Canis lupus familiaris: one gene and its partners. The protein of the gene in region 3 purifies or fractionates together with the protein of the main gene of each other region. This does not show direct contact. Links are inferred from orthologs where the notes say so. Each region holds a gene or a part of one and is shown on either strand. Other genes may lie near its edges.

Evidence for each region.
Region 1: the proteins of USP15 (region 3) and RNF40 purify together in Homo sapiens (affinity purification with mass spectrometry; 4 studies listed by BioGRID and IntAct, with this or other methods). This does not show direct contact. The link is inferred for Canis lupus familiaris from reciprocal best matches to the Homo sapiens genes USP15 and RNF40.
Region 2: the proteins of USP15 (region 3) and SMAD4 purify together in Homo sapiens (affinity purification with western blotting; 4 studies listed by BioGRID). This does not show direct contact. The link is inferred for Canis lupus familiaris from reciprocal best matches to the Homo sapiens genes USP15 and SMAD4.

The regions. Positions count from the first base shown.
Region 1 is NC_049227.1:17,573,130-17,578,515, forward strand, and holds the start of RNF40 (E3 ubiquitin-protein ligase BRE1B), read right to left. Parts: upstream 3,857-5,386; 5' UTR 3,702-3,856; intron 3,593-3,701; 5' UTR 3,521-3,592; coding exon 3,389-3,520; intron 2,966-3,388; coding exon 2,798-2,965; intron 2,664-2,797; coding exon 2,522-2,663; intron 1,664-2,521; coding exon 1,457-1,663; intron 911-1,456; coding exon 789-910; intron 688-788; coding exon 541-687; intron 448-540; coding exon 373-447; intron 1-372. Other genes in the region: CCDC189 (coiled-coil domain-containing protein 189), read left to right, coding at 4,280-4,495, 5,027-5,058.
Region 2 is NC_049222.1:24,037,575-24,043,034, forward strand, and holds the start of SMAD4 (mothers against decapentaplegic homolog 4), read right to left. Parts: upstream 3,566-5,460; 5' UTR 3,522-3,565; intron 1,509-3,521; exon of another isoform or gene 1,344-1,508; intron 1-1,343. Other genes in the region: ELAC1 (zinc phosphodiesterase ELAC protein 1), read right to left, coding at 4,964-5,212. UniProt on the Homo sapiens protein: In muscle physiology, plays a central role in the balance between atrophy and hypertrophy. When recruited by MSTN, promotes atrophy response via phosphorylated SMAD2/4.
Region 3 is NC_049231.1:5,978,057-5,983,416, forward strand, and holds part of USP15 (ubiquitin carboxyl-terminal hydrolase 15), read left to right. Parts: intron 1-880; coding exon 881-1,039; intron 1,040-1,118; coding exon 1,119-1,343; intron 1,344-5,360. UniProt on the Homo sapiens protein: Hydrolase that removes conjugated ubiquitin from target proteins and regulates various pathways such as the TGF-beta receptor signaling, NF-kappa-B and RNF41/NRDP1-PRKN pathways.

The DNA of each region.
Region 1 (5,386 bases), on a different chromosome or scaffold from region 3:
AATGCCAGCCAATACAACACACTCCCACTCCCATTTGTCTCTCTCCTATCCTTTCTTTTTTGGGGCAACTATAACCACCTGGCGTACTATCTTACTTCCTGTTTCTCCTCCAACTAGAACCTGAGCTCCATGAAAACTTTGTTATTTATCTATTTTGTCCTCTGATACTGCCTGCTTCTGAGCACCATGCCCAGCACTTAATGTTAACAACTACTTACTAAATACGTAAACAAATGAATGAAACAGACCCATGAGGGACAGGGAAGGGACTCAGAGACCATGCAATGGTTTGTCCTTAATTGTGAGGAAACTTTTATAGGTGAGGCAGAGAAAAGGGCACAGGAGGGATGGGAAAGAATGGTGCCTGCTCACCTTCTGCATGCTGAGTGTGATCTGACCCCCCTGGAAACCTGAGGAGCTCCCAGATACGTAGTAGCCAGAGTTGAGCTGTGGAGAGACAGACCGATGGGGGTGGAGGAAAGAAGCGTGGGTTCCGAGTACTCAGCCGTGGCTCCATCTGACCCAGCAACCAAACCCCACCTGCTCCAAGGCCTCCGCCAGGTGTTTATTGAGCTTCTGCTCACGCTTGCGCAGCTTCTCGATGTCCCACTGCAGATCCTCCACTGTCGTCTCCATCTCCAGCACCTTGGTCTCTGCTGATGTCACTTTATCCTGGAGCTCAGAGTACTGGAGACAATGATCGGGTCAGATACTTAGAAGAGAGGACTTGGCTCCCTGAGAGCCTTGGTGCACATCTAACCCAAACCCTGCCCTGGTTGTAATCCCACCTCCAATGAGATGCGGTGGTGCTTCTCTTGTAGCTGGGTGGCCAAGTCCTGCAGCCGCCGGTTCTCACGACCCAACTCCCGGGTACGTGCCCGAGCCACCTCACCGGGGGGCTCACTGTCCCCTGAGAAGGCAGGGCTCGGGTAAGAGCCAAGTCCAGGGCAATGGGGCAAAGTACTAACTCATTCTGGAGTCTGCTATGTGCCCAGTGTGATCCACCAGCTGTCTTGCCAATTTCTCATGACAAAGCCAGGAGTCTTTATCCCCACTGCACAAAGGAGGAAACCAGCTCAGAGAGGAGAGCCATCTGCCCAGAATGCCCAGTCTAAAATGACAGGATGAGGGCTGTCAGCCTGCAAGGCCTAGACACTTACTACTATGCCTCATGAGTGAGCAACTGCAACCAAAATCTGTGCAAAGTGCTCCAAAGAGGTCTTCGGCTGGAAGACAGTGGCCCCTTAAGCATCAACAACTCCTCCCACCCAGCTCACTAGAACTCAACCCCGTGAATCAAAAGCAGAGCCCCCTCTACAACCTACACTTTTCCCTGAGAACGTGGCTGATTCATTCCTTGGAAAATTATGGCTGCCTCTGGGCTCAGGCATTTAGGGGATACAATGAAGACACAGACAGGGATAGACACCTCTGCGGTAGGACACACAAAACTAACCTCGGCTGTATACTCGCTGACAGAGTTCCTCCACTCGGCGCTGTAGGCGGTCTGAGGCCTCTACAACACGGGACACAGCTGCCTTGGAGAACTCCATTCGGCCCTGCAGCTGCAGCTCCACCTCCTCACTACTGCTTGCGCCCAGTGCTACCACAAAAGCCAAAGCTGGCTCACTGAGGGGGGGCCGCAGCTGCACTGGTAGGGGCTCTGCAAGGAATGGACAGACCCTCGTGAGAATCTCACGAGGGGACCAGCAGCAGTTACCACCACTCCATACCACGTTCTAGACCAAGCCCTTCGCCACTCAATGCTCAATGAACCAACACAAGCAATGCCTGTAATACACTGGTATTACATAACTACGGAGGTTCAGGGAGCTAAAATAATTTTAAGGCCACAGGACTTCCAAATCTTCCTCAGAGAAGCCTTTTCTGCCTTCTCTATCTAAATTAGAACCATACACATGAGTGCATATACACGAATTCTCTTTCAAGAGTCCCTATCCTTTTTATTCATGATTTAAAATCACTTTCTCTCTTGGGTGGATCCCTGGGTGGATCCCAGGGCGTGATGCTGAAGTCCCAGGACTGAGTCCCACATCAGGCTCCCTGCATGAAGCCTGCTTCTCCCTCTGCCTGAGTCTCTGCCTTTCTCTTGCTCTCTGTTTCTTTCATTAATAAATAAATAAAATCTTAAAAAACAAAAAACAAAAAACTTCCTCCCTGATGGCAGAGGCAAGATTTCTTATCTTTGTCTCTTCTGAAGCTGTTAACAGTACTACCTATGTAGATAACACAAGATACTGACAGTTTTTTGAACTAAATGAGTGTCAAATACGACATGCAATACGAACCAAGTCACTCAGATTTCAAAGCCTGGGGCCTTACCTAACACTGCACTTGCTGTCCAAACATCATGAAATCGTTGTGTGTGTGTGTGTGTGTGTGTGTGTGTGTGTGTGAAGGGTGGTGGGGAATTCAGTAGAGTAATATGAAAGTTCCCTCCACTCCAGGACCTTTCCCAGAACTTAATTAAGCTGCCCAGATCCTAGGGCTCTGGCCCTACCCCTCAGTTCCGATGTCCCTGGTTCTGTGAGAGGGGTCTCATCACGTGCTGGCCCCTCCTGGGTCCCAGGCGCATCTGTCCCTGAAGACAGCTCCCCCTGGCTCTCATGGTGTCGAAGAAGGGCTTCCACAGTTTCATCCAGCTGAAGGGAGAAAGCACCAAAAACGTTATGAATCTCTCAGGTGCTTCCCAGCATGATACTCCTTTCCCAGCAGAGTAGTCTGAGGATTGGCAGCTGGATCGAGGCCAGGTCTTGGAAAGCAGAGGGGCATCCACCTGGGCCCAGTAGCGATTGACAATGAGCAGTGTGGCATCATCTGTGGCCTGCCGCTTCTCCAGCTTCTCAATTCGTTCTCGGAGTTCATCTTCACAAGCCTGTCGCTGTTCCAATCGCTCTGCTAGTTTCTTGTTCTTGAACTGCAGAACCTTCAGGTCCATCTCCTCCTACCAAGAAAAACAAAGGGGCAGAGGAGAGGGTCAAATAGAGCCCAAGAAACCAGTCACAGAGAGAGGCAAAAGAGAGCAACTGGAATGGACACAGCAATGGTATCCCCAGACTAACCACTAACAGAATTTAAAGAGGTTCTGACACCCCCAGAGAAAGCATCTTGATTGTGAGGAGGGTCAAGTCCTGCTTTTGCCTCTAGCTCTCAAGTCTTTGACAACTCACACTCCCTTTGGGAACCTGTTTCCCTATCTGTAAAAGGAAGGCAGACGTCGTGTTCTCGGTTTCCTTCAACAGAGGATTCTGTAAAGTGGCTCCTGCTAAGCTTGGGGAGCTAGGATGTAAGGTTCTGGACGATCTGGGCGGAAACCAGAGATGGGGAGGCTGGCAAGTTGTGAGGACTGAGGCAGGAGCCCACGAACCGTAGAAGAGATGCCCCCAAGACGAATAGGCTCTATAAGCGTGGTCGTGGTCTTCTCCTCGCGGCTCAGCTTCTTCTCTGGGGGCCCTGAGCCCCCGTCGCCGGCGGCGCGTTTGTTGCCGGGTCCAGACATGGCCGCGGCGGCGAGGAGCGGCGCAGGGTCTCCCGAGGGACGTCAAGCAAGCGTAGGCAGCACTTCCGTCACCTGCAGAAGACAGAGAGCAGAGATGTGGAGGCGGCCACTGCTCCGCAGCTCCAAGCCTTCCCCGCACACACCTGATGGATCCCTCCCCCGCCAGCCCCGGGCCCCTCACCCGCAGCAGGCTCAGCCTAGCGCCATCTTGGACTTCACCGGACGTCACCGGCCTCCTCAGCCAAGAGCGCAAGCGCCGCAGGCAATGCCGGATGTGGCGAAACTTCATTTCCTGTTTCTATTGGTCGCGCTTTGTCCCGCCTCTCGGGTCTCCTTTGGTTTCTTCCTGAACACCTCCTCTCTCTCCCAGTGATTGGCCAGTAGACAGTTCCCGTGGCAACTGACACCACACTCACAACCCCTAGCTCTAAGGGCATCACCGGCATCCTGTTAGCCGCTTTGAAGCCAGGGCACCCAGACGGCGCCTGAAACTTATTGCGCATGTGCATTTCCTTCTCACTGATTGGCGAGCGTCCTACCCTTGCTCCCTCCCACCACGAGCTCCCTTAGCAACGGTCGCCGTTGAGACGGAGGGAGACGCCCCCTGCGGATTGGTTACACCGGCCTCTCTGCGGCGTAGATTGGCTGAGGCGTCGCTGGAGGGAGGGCTTGGCAGTCAGTCCCGGCCCCAGAACCGGCTTTCCCAGGACCCGGGCGGGACACAGCCTGTGGTGACCCGTGACGAGGAAGAGCGACGAGATGATCCGCCAGAAGTCTAGCCAATTCATGGGGCTGAAGATGCAGTCGGAGTTTGAACAGCCCTCCGAACTGCAGCGGGAACTCGAGAAGGACCTCAGCTCTATGGAGGAGTCCGTCACGCGGATAGCAACAGGTGTGCGGACCGAGTCCGGGACCGCGGCCGGCACCGCGGCCTCGGTAGCAGCGGATGAAGATCCTGCAGCCAACTTGTTCCCGGTGAGGGCGGGACAGAGTGGTCCGCTCATGTTTGTAGAAGGGCTTCCCGGCAGGGTGCCACCGTCCTTATGCTTTTTTTTTTTTTTTTAAGATTTTATTTATTTATTCATGATAGTCACACAGAGAGAGACAGAGAGGCAGAGACACAGGCAGAGGGAGAAGCAGGCTCCACGCAGGGAGCCCGACGCGGGATTCGATCCTGGGTCTCCAGGATTGTGCCCTGGGCCAAAGGCAGGCGCCAAACCGCTGCGCCACCCAGGGATCCCCCGTCCTTATGCTTATTAACGTTCAAGACGTTTCCTGGGTGCCTTGGTGAAGAGGCAGGGGTGTGTGACTCCGATTGTTAAATGCTCATGAATAGTAGTACTTACGGCCTTTTGAAGCCCGGCCTGCCAGCGTTGCTCATACATAACCTTTAACATGAGAAGGCAAGTTAGCAGGTTCTCAGGCCCGCTGGAGATTCCCGAAGGGTCAGGGACTGGGGCCATGGACAGCACGGCTCCGCCTGCCCAATCCGCTTTCTCTCCGCAGCCGCCGTTGCCCCAGCCCCGGATCTGCATGTGGTGAGTGTGAAGTCTTGGGGAAAAGTTACACTTTACACTTGGCATTACTCCTCCCCAACAGTCCTGTCAAACAGCTAGGGCATTCCCCATTGTACAGATGAGGAAACTGCAATTATCCAAGTTAAGTAGAGCCTTCCTGCCTCCCCAGGCCAAAGAAGGAGGGTGGGTGGGAAGGATAGAGCCAAAGACTAAGGATGTAAATGGAATATGGACTGCTATGGAGCACTGTATAAATGAAGACACTGAAGCCACATGGGGCGTGGAAGAGTCAAGAATTCAAGTTTCCTAATCCTCAGCTTTCTAAATGAAGAGGATTGTAAGAATTCGT
Region 2 (5,460 bases), on a different chromosome or scaffold from region 3:
TTCATTTAAAATGTAAATAAATAGTGTCTTTGAACTTAAATATATTTACAATTATCACCAACTTTAAGATGTCGTAATAGACAGTCTTTACAATCTGTCTCTGGTAGCTATCTATCTGACCTACGATATAATTTGCAGTAGCAAATAATCAAGACTTAAATTATAAGATTCTGACCACTTACCACCTTAGTTTTATGTAAGTAAGCACTACCCTAGTTTCTATCCACTCTCATAGTTAATACAAATTTTCCTGGATGCCAATCACACCAGAAAATAATGTCAAGGTGACACAACCTAAAATACCTTGTTCCTGAGAAACTGGAATTCAGCCACATTTCCCATCACCAAAATTACACATTTTAAAATGAGGGATAAAATCCAAAAATTCTAAATCTGACTCATTACCAAGCATATGTTTTGTCATATTATGATGCAAGCAGTATCATACTGAAAGTTACTCAAATATCTACACATATTTATCAACTGTTTGAATTTCTTTTTAAAACAACCAAATCTTCATCAACTGTTGAGTAAAAAGCCCAAAATTTGGTAGTTTAACAGTTATATTATATTCTGTGTTACGCTGATCCAAGTCCTTTAACTTTCATTTAGTGTAGAAAATAATGAAATCAACGGAACTGTTTTAGTTGTTAGTTTTACACATGATTAAGCATCAATTCAGAGTCAACATTTCATCATCGCTTAAGCAAAACAAAAATTTCTGCCTAACCACACAATCTTCTAGAAAAAAAGGAAATCAAAACATGTACAATGAGCACCGAAACGGCCAACATAAGATGTTTAAAGCCTTGTTTACTATCAAAATCACTGGATGGAAGATGGGAAAAAGTTAGGCATGAGCTAGAGGGGAACAATATAGAACTGAAATAACTTTAAACATAAAAAAAGGTACTCAACAAAATAGGCAAAATTTTAGACAGGACTAAAAATGCGTTTTAAATGAACGGGACAGATCCTGCAGGGTTAAGAGCCCTAGTAGAGGCCACAGCAATTCACAGCTCAATTAGGATAGTGTCTAATGACGTTATAACACCAGCTCAATCAGAAAAAAACAGCTTCCAAGCCAGAGGGCTGGAGTGTGACTGGGCAGCATAAATTAGTTTAATGCTTTTTTCTCTTTAATATGGGGGGGGGGGGGTGTCTAAAGGGGAATGCAGAAAAACAATTCAGACACAAATAAACAGCTCAACCAAAATGTAGCCTCAGAATAAAACATACATAGGTTTTTAGAAGATTTGCTGCTTCGTAGTGTAAGCAGCATTGCTTCAAGCAGCAAAGCCATTAGAAAAGGCCAATGATCCATGTAAAAATTTCAAATTCACCTTCTCAGCCCAAATTTCCATCAAATCTCAAACTGACGTGCAATTCTTTTCTAAGCTCGAGATTTACAAGGCGGGCACTCAGCTAAACAGAGAAGCTTCCACTCAGGCCCTCCTACTCGGAAAATCAAAGAATTAAGAAGATGCAGTGCCTCTTCAAGCAACCTCACCCAAAAACCTGGAAAGCAAAGAAAAAGCCACTTCTATTAACAGACCCACGAAAGGTTCTATCCATTTTCTCTAGAAAGGCTCTTAGGTTTAATTCCGACAACTTAAACCTACACAATTCATCACCCCCTTTAGACCCCAAAACCCTGCGAGTCCTGTTGGTTCTGGTAACAAACCCGTTTAGGGAAACAAAGTCACAGCTCATGAAACAGCAGCAGGACGTCATATTTTAAGAGGTCAATCACATCATTTACAACTTGAAATGTCACATACTCGGCATATCAGAACTTTTCAGAAGAAAAAATAAGAAGTCCTTAACGGAAAAGTCCTCACGCCTCGGAGGCTCAGAGGCTCGCGGGCAACACGGCGCAGGTGCAGGAAGGCAGGCGCGGGCACCGCGGCCCACCCACCCAGCTGCGTCCTAAATCCCGTTACTTTTTCAAAGCGTGGATTTCCTTATTTCCTCTTAAGACTCCACGGTCTGTTCCAACAAAAACTACTCAACCTACTTTTTTAAGATCCACAGAGACTGCTGCTGAGACTCAAGGGGCGCTCCCTGAGAAGACTAGAGTGCTCCCTGCGAAGACTAGGGTGCTCCCTGCAAAGACTAGAGTGCTCCTTGCGGGGACTCAAGGGGGTGCTCCCCACGGAGACTCAAGAGGACACTCCCTGCAGGGACTCAAGGGGGTGCTCCCTGCGGGGACTCAAGGGGGCGCTCCCCACGGGGACTCAAGAGGACACTCAAGGAGGTGCTCCTCGCGGGGACTCAAGGGGGTGCTCCCTGCGAAGACTAGGGTGCTCCCTGTGGAGACTCAAGAGGACACTCCCTGCAGGGACCCAAGGGGGTGCTCCCTGCAGGGACTCAAAGGGGTGTTCCCTGCGGCAGGTCGGGGCCCCTACCGAGCCTCTGCACCCCAGCTCCTCCGCACCCTGGCTCGCGGTCAGGAGATGCCCAGGAGCCCGCTGCGCCGCGTCCACGACCCCGAAGGGCCCTCAGCCCCACCTCAGAGTACAGCGCAAAAGGCACCAAGGAACTGGGTCCAAAGTGAATTCATCGGAAATAAAATGTGTTCGTGAAAAAGAATCTTTCACCAGGGCTTTGGGGGGGGGGGGGGGAGGTGCTGCGCATCACCACCAGCAGAGCCGTCGGACACCTCTCCAGGCCCCCAAAGCCACCTTTCAAGTTAACCCAACACGCCCATTTCTTTGAAAAATCTTCCCTGAGAAATGATAACCTCAGTTTTGGGGGCAAGTGATGGAGCCACCGCCCTCCGTCCTAGAGCCTCGCGCCCAGCGCTCGCAGTCCCAGCAGCGGGAGAAACTGGGTCCTTGGGTTTTCATTGGGAGTGGGGTGGGGTGGGGTGGGGTGGGGTGGGGTGGGGGGCGGCCGGGAGCTGATTAGGGGAAGGATTGAGGGGTGGAGGGGTGGAAGGGTGGGGGGTGGAGGGATGGGGGGGTGAGAGGTGGAGTGGAGGGGCGGGGTGGAGAGGTGGAGGGATGGAGGCTGGGGGGGCGGCCGGGTGCTCATCAGGAGAGGGGGGAGGGATGGAGGGGTGCGGGGGAGGGGCGCGCGCAGGTCAGCGGGAGGGCTCCCCCCCGCCGCCCGCCCGCTCCCGAGCCGCGAGAGCGCCCAGCGCAGGCCGAGGCGAGCGCCGGAGCGGCCCCGGCAGGAAGGGAAAGTGGAGGACAAAGGCGGCACCGACGTGTCCCCGAGACGGGAAACTTCGGGCGCGCTCGGCGGGGGCGGCGGGCGCAAGTCCTCGGAGCAACAAAGACCGACGGCGACGGCAGGGGAGCCGCGGCGGGCGCGGGGGCGCGGAGGCGCGGGGGCGCTGGGCCCGGGACGCGAGGCGCGAGGCCCCCCGCCCCCCGGCCCCCGCCCCGCCCCCCGCGCACACGCACGCGCACGCGCACACGCACGCACCGGCCGCCCGAGCCCGCCCCGGGGCGGGGAAGCCCGGGGGTGGGGGGGCGCGGGCCCGGCCGGGGAAGGGGAGGGCACGGGGCCGTTACCTGGGCTCCGCCGCCGCCGCCGCCGCCGCCGCCGCCGCCGCCGCCGCCGCCGCCGCCGCCGCCGCCGCCGCCGCCGCCGCCGCCGCCGCCCGTCCGCGGGCCACCGCTCCCCCCGCGCCCCCGCCCCTCCTCGCCGCCGCCGCCGCCGCCGCCCGCCGGCCGCCTCGAGCTCCCGGGCCGCCCCGCGGGGGGGGCCCTCGGTCGCGGGGCGCCCGGCTCCCCTAGCCGCTCCCGCCGCCGGGCGGCCGCGCCGCTGAAGGACCGGCGGGCAAGGCCTCCCGAGGACGGCGCGCGGGCGCCAACGCGGGCCCCGCCACCCGAGCCGCTCCGCTAGCGCAGCGGCGACGACGACCAGGGCCGTGTTGTTGCTGCCAACTTGTCGGGAGGCCACGGAGCATGCGCGCACGGCGACCACATCCGGGTAACTGCAGGCCTCGGCCCGTGCCCCCGCAGCTCCCTCTCCCGCGGCCCCGCCCCCCGCGGAGCGCCGGCGGGGGGGTTGTGCGCAGGCGCGGGGCGCAGGCGCGATGCGCGGCCCGGCGGCGGGCGGCCCCGAGGGCGGACACCTGCCGGGCCCCCTCCCGGCTCCGCGGCGCGCGGACCGGCAGCCCGTGCGGGAGTGTGGCCGCGGGTCACGGAGGCCAGTGGACGGGGCTCGGGGGACACTGCGATGGGGGCGGCGCTCAAGGACCTGCCGCGCACCTGTTGAGGCCACCTGTGGGGCGAAACTCGGCTTCGCAGTGCATACCTACTTATCTCAACTTTTCCAAGATGCGCGCATTTCTTTTATTTTTAAAAGTTTCAGAAAACACGTACGAGTTGCATACTTTCGAATTTTTGTTTTATTTTTTACCACCTAGAAAAAACTTCCCCTGCCGGGGGTGGGGAGCCCGACGCAAGCTAGTGGCGAGGAAGCGCTCAGACCCTCCGTACGCCCGTCCCCGCGCCGGCCCCGCCCGCTGTCCCCACGGCGTCCCGGCCCCGCCCCCGCCCCGCCCCCGCCCCGCCCCCCCGTCCCTGCTCTCCACCCCCGTCCCCGCCCCCGTCCCCGTCCCCTCCCTGCTGTCCTCGCCCCGCTGTCCCCGCCCGTTCCCAAGCTGTCCTGCCTGGCTGTCCCCACGGTGTCCCCCCCTGCTATCCCCTCGGCATCCCGCCCGTTCCCGAGCTGCCCCCCCCCCCCGCACCACGGCAACCCGCACTCCTGCGTGTCCCGCCGCCGTCGTCTCCCGTGTTCCCTGCTCCTGGGTCCAGGAAGACTTTCCAAGACTAGTTTTAAGGGAATTCACTTAGAGAGCTCCCGTTGCTAGTGCACTACTTAACACAATGGCTCAGCTTGAGAAGTCACCTGAGGACAGAGCATCCTCTTCCAAAACTGTCATTCTCCCATCTGTCGGAATAAAGTGACATTCTCATGCAGGTGCATCAACTCAAGATGTATTTATTTACTTTTTTATTTTAGAGTAAGAGGGAATGTGGGGATGGGAGGGGAAGCAGAGGGAGAGAGAGAGAGAGAAGCCCAAGCGGACGACGTGTTGAGTGTGGGACCCGATGCGGGGCTCGACCCCACAACCCTGAGATGGTGACCTTAGCTGAAATCCAGTCGCGCGGGCACCCCGACTCCAGATGTAAAACCCCCAGGACAATTCAGAGGGACAATTCAAAAACTGGCGTCTGATGAAAGAGCGAGTGACCTGAATGAACGGGTTATAAATTCTTTGTGAGTCAGGTGGTTCCCAGTTCTTTGCTATCAGCAAAACTGAAGGAAGGTTTAACTGGGTGGTCGGGTACCAGAGCAGCAGGTGGCTCCTAAGTTCCTACTTCTACCTCAGACGGAGTTAAAAGTAACATGGCTCTCCGGCACCTGGGTGGCTCAGCTGGCTGAGCGTCTGACTCTTGATCGCAGCTTAGGTCTTTATCTCGGGGCCTGAGCTCCAGCCCC
Region 3 (5,360 bases):
GTTGATACCTGACTTTTCTTTCACATTTCTTTTCGGTTTTATCAAAAAAATACTTAGTACTGCAAATACTAAGAAAATTATATATAAACACAAACATTCCTGAGATTTATCCTCTTTAGACACACCAACTAAATGAGAGCTTTGTAATTATTTTAGTGATCCAGAAATATTATTGAATTTTAATAGTCTTTAGTATTTCCAAATCCTTTGTACAAAACTTCACCATATTTTCTCCTTGTTCTTTACTCAGGTCAGCATTTCGTTTCTGGGTTACAGATTAGCTATTTATTATTTAGAGGGGATCCCTGGGTGACTCAGCAGTTTAGCCCCTGCCTTCAGCTCAGGGCGTGACCCCGGGGTCCTGGGATTGGGTCCCGCATCAGGCTCCCCGCAGGGAGCCTGCTTCTCCCTCTGCCTGTGTCTCTGCTCTCTTACCCTGTGTCTCTCATGAATAAATAAATAAAATATTTAAAATATATGTATATTTAGATATGTAATTATATTTATGTATGTGTAATTACCATATCTGCCAATGACTGCAAAAGTGCTACAAGTTGATTTTAGCAGTTCATGAATTCACAAAATTGAAATCCATGAATGATGAGAATCAATTTTTTTATTTTTTTATTTTTTTTAAGATTTTATTTATTCTCTGTGAGAGAGAGAGAGAGAGAGAGAGAGGGGCAGAGACCCGGACAGAGGGGAAGCAGGCTCCATGCAGGGAGCCCGATGTGGGACTCAATCCCGGGTCTCCAGGATCATGCCCTGGGCTGAAAGCAGGCGCTAAACCACTGAGCCACTCAGGGATTCCCGAGAATCAATTTTTTTTTAAATCAGTCTTGTCCCTATAACTGATTTTATACTTTTGCTTTTCTTACAGACCCAAGTAGGACGTTTTGCACCTCAGTTTTCTGGATACCAGCAGCAAGACTGTCAAGAGCTTTTAGCTTTCCTATTAGATGGATTACATGAAGATTTGAATAGAATTAGGAAAAAACCGTATATACAATTAAAAGATGCAGATGGAAGGCCAGATAAGGTAAATTTAATGTCATTATTGTCACCACTTTTATAATAATGTGATATCTTTGTGTAATATGTGTCTGGTTTTCTTACAGATAGTTGCTGAAGAAGCCTGGGAAAACCATTTAAAAAGAAATGATTCTATCATAGTAGATATATTTCACGGCCTTTTCAAATCAACTTTAGTTTGTCCTGAATGTGCTAAGATTTCAGTAACATTTGATCCTTTTTGTTACTTGACACTTCCATTGCCCATGAAAAAAGAACGTACCTTGGAAGTATATTTAGTCAGAATGGATCCACTTACCAAACCTATGCAGGTAAGTCATGATTATTTTCTTTGCATTTGTTACTTTTATAAAAACTTAGTGTTGAGACCTTGTACTTCAAGCACAATTCAATAATAAGTTTATTTATATAAGAGATTTTACAAGCTAAATACTTTGGGAATTAGTACAACTTTTTAGAATCTTGAAATGGCGAGGGATTTATAAATTATCATTATTTATAAAAACAAAATTCTCAGTCTTTTTCTTATGAAAGAAAAATGAGAGGTTGTTCAATTTTGCAGTGGTAAGATAAATATGAGCCTAACAAAGATTTTTCCTATTGTCCAACTTGAACTTTAATGTTAATTGTAAGTTTTTTTCTAGTGGGCTGTTGGAAGTAAAACTAATACCATACATTTTGATTCATGATTTGATAGTGGTATATTTAAATACCTGTAATTTTTAAGCATCTTAAGAACTCAAAAGAGAAATAGAAATTTAATTCAGCTATAAATATTCGCTTCAATAATGTTCTAAGCAAAGCACTATATTTTCTTCCTTCACTAATCAGTTAATCATTTCCTGACGCTTGAACCACCCTAACAAAAGTAGTTCCTTACTCTTCTACTTTGAGTGCCCCTGAAATGTTGTTATCACATTTATCAAATTTTATTATGACCCCTGGTTTACTTATCTTTTCTCTGTTAGTGAGTTCTTTGAAGATAGGAACTTTGTAAATCATTGTATTTCCAACCCCCTTGACTTGTAGTACTACTAAAGCAGAAGTATTCAAAAATTATATTCATTCAAATATGTGTAGGGCACCCAATGAGAATGTAAAGCTCTGTTTGGCAGACAGAGCAGACATGGTTCCTGCTTTAGAGGACTGTTGACTAAAGATCTTTAGCTCAGAGTTCTAGTCAGATAGTGCAGTTTCTTAGAGCATAGTTGTATTAGTCTGCTCAGGCTGCTCTAATGAAATGCCATATAAACTGAGTGGATTTAAACAACAGAAATTTATCTTCTGATAATTCTGGAGGCTGGAAGTCTAAAATCAAGAGTACTAGCATGGTTGGTATCTAGTACAGACTCTTTTCCTGGTTTACAGGCAACCCTATCCTCAGTGTGTTGAGAGAGAATACCTGTAGCACACAAGCTCTCTAGCATCTCCTTATAAGGACACTAATCTCATCATGGAGGTTCACCTTTTTGATCTCATGTAAAGCTCCCAAAAGCCCCATCTCCAAATATTATTACATTGGTGGTTAGGGCTTCAACACATAAATTTTAAGTGGACACAATTCAACCAATAGCAATATCATGAGATCTGTATGAAAGGTCTGCTTTTGAACAAAGTTATGATCTTACCATTAATTTGGTGGAAGTGTTTGGGTTTACTGTCCACAAGAACATTATAAATGAAGTGTTCCTAGTACAAGTATAGTCCTTTCATTCAAACTAATTAAAGTCTAGTGAAGACTAGTCGTGCCCTCAGTAATGTAAATTTCCCCTATTTCTTTTGCTCCTTCTTTATGTTTCCTTTACAAACTCACTGATCCTGATGGTCTCATATCAATATTTCATTCAGTAGTACTCAGAATATTGAGTAGGGCCTAGGAGGGCCTGCTTTTATTTTTTGCCAGGGGAATATATGCTCACATTCTCTAAAGTACATTTGTTGAAGACAGTGCTCTCCTATGCCAATAATACAAAAGTAAGCTATATTACATAGGGACAGGTCACATTCAAATTTCACATTAGCTGTAGGCGTGTATTGAATGTTCTCCCATAATTTGGGTTTTAAATTATTTTTCCAGCAATATGAATTTCATTAGTATAACTCTTTTCTCACTTGGTGGCCAAAAATACAGATTTGTGGAGATCGGAGCCATGGTTAGCATAAAGGAATCGGGCATTTTTTTTCTACTTCAAAGAAGTAACAACTCAAATACAAAATGATAGGCTCGCTAACGGTATGCTTAACCAGCTAGAAAGGAAAGGGAAATTTAGCTGAGTTAACCTACTTGATGAGTTTTCCCATCAGTGAAGTTGATTTAGGTCTTAGAAGTTTATTAGTAATTGTACTAACATGTATTATGTATTGGATTCTGATTCTCTGCAAAGTGCTGGAAATACAAAGATGTTCCTGGTTCTTGTTCCTGAGAACCTTTTCATACAATGTGAAAAATGCTGTGGCAGTGCTGTAGGAATATACATACAAAAGGAATGATACACCCAAACTGCCAATGCCTGTGTTGAATCCTGAAGGATGATTAGGTTTTAAGTGTATGAAAGCTGGAAATAAAGGCATTGTAGACCAACAGAGTGGCATATACAAAGACCGAAAGGCAAAAGACGACATGGCCCACTTCTGGAAATTAGAAGTAGATAATATGGTAAGCAGAAGAACTCACAAAGCTCATAAAGAACTTTGCTGCCAAGATAGGAGATTTGGACTTCATCCTAAAAATTAGGGGAGCCATTAAAGGTTATTAAATAGAGCACTATGTGACCAGATTTTTATTAGAGAAAGAAGACCCAGGCTACTGCAAAGACTGGATTAGAAGAACTTAGGTCGGATATACTAAGACCATGTAAGAGAGTTTTGCAGTGATCACATGACAAATGAAAATGACTAGAACTCTTAAGATTAGTATCAGGGTGACAGAAGAATCAGTTGAATATAAGAAGTAAAAATGTAAAAAAAAAAAAAAAAAAGTAAAAATGTTTAAGAGTATTCAAAAATGATGCCAAGTTTTTTGGGTTGCAAAACTGAGGAGACACTGGTGCTATTTGCCTTAATGGGATATATATAGGAAGCAAGGTTTAGGAAGAAGCCTGTTGTAATATTGGATATGTTGCCCTAACATGACCTAAATCTATGTTTAGTACTGGACATGTTGAGGTGCATGAGGAAAATTAGAGCTTATCAGTAAGCATTAAGTTTATCTATCTAGACTAGAAGAGAGATGTCTGGTTGAGATAGAAATTGGGCAGTGAGTTCTATGACAATGATACTGAATGTCTTAGAAGGATGAGATTCCCTAAGGCTAGGGTGACTCTGTAATGTATCATCTAAACTAGAACTCTTTTAAAAATAAAAGGGGCCATTATTAATCATTATATTACCAGGACAGCAGGTTCATCCAGGGCTGAGACAAAGCAAATTAGAATATATTGTCACCTGCTTTAAAGAGAGCATATAGAATCAAGAAGGGGGTGAAGGGTAAAACTCTAAAGGAGTTTGACAACCTTGGTAATAGGTTAAATAGATGAGGACAGAAAGCTAGGGGTAGATTGATAAGTGAATGGAAAGTGAAGAATTTAAGATAGTCATTATAGACATTACTTTTAACAAGGTTATATTTATAAAGCAGAGGAGAAAGGAAGATAACTAGAGGGGGATTATCAGAGGGAAGGCAATGAGAGACTGGGTTTTTGCATTTTGTTTTTTGGTTTTTGTGGGTTTTTTGAGAGACTAGTAGATTATTCCATTGCTTACGTAAGAATCAAGGTAAAATGACATAAAGGATGATTCCTGGGTTAGGTTCCCAAGGAAGTAGAACAGGATGGGAATCAGAACATAGATGCTAGTGGTAGCCTTAGATGGGAAGGGTAACATCTGATTCTCTTTCCCTGTGTAGAAAAAAGATGGAGAAAAGGACCTTTTAGAAGTTTGTTCAGGGACACAAAGTTGGATATTTTCCTATCCAGTAGCCTCTACTTTTTTTGGTATTCTGCTGATAGTGAAGGGAGAAATTGTAAAATAAGGAAGCCTAAGGAATGGTGAAGATTGTATATAGTTACTGGGAAAAATGAAAGAAGAAGCAAATAAGGGATGCACAGAATTTCTGGCTAGTGTTGAACAATCTGTTAAGATTTAAGCACTGTGGATTTGTAGCAAACCAGTCTCTAAAATTGGTCAGTTTTCTCCAGCATATCTGAACAGCTCCAAGAAAGTATAGCAAGAATAAAATTGAATAACAAAATAGTTAAACGTTTTGCAGTGGAGTATTGAAGTGATGGATCCTGTGGGATCTGGATGGAAGGGCGTGAAGACAGTAGGAA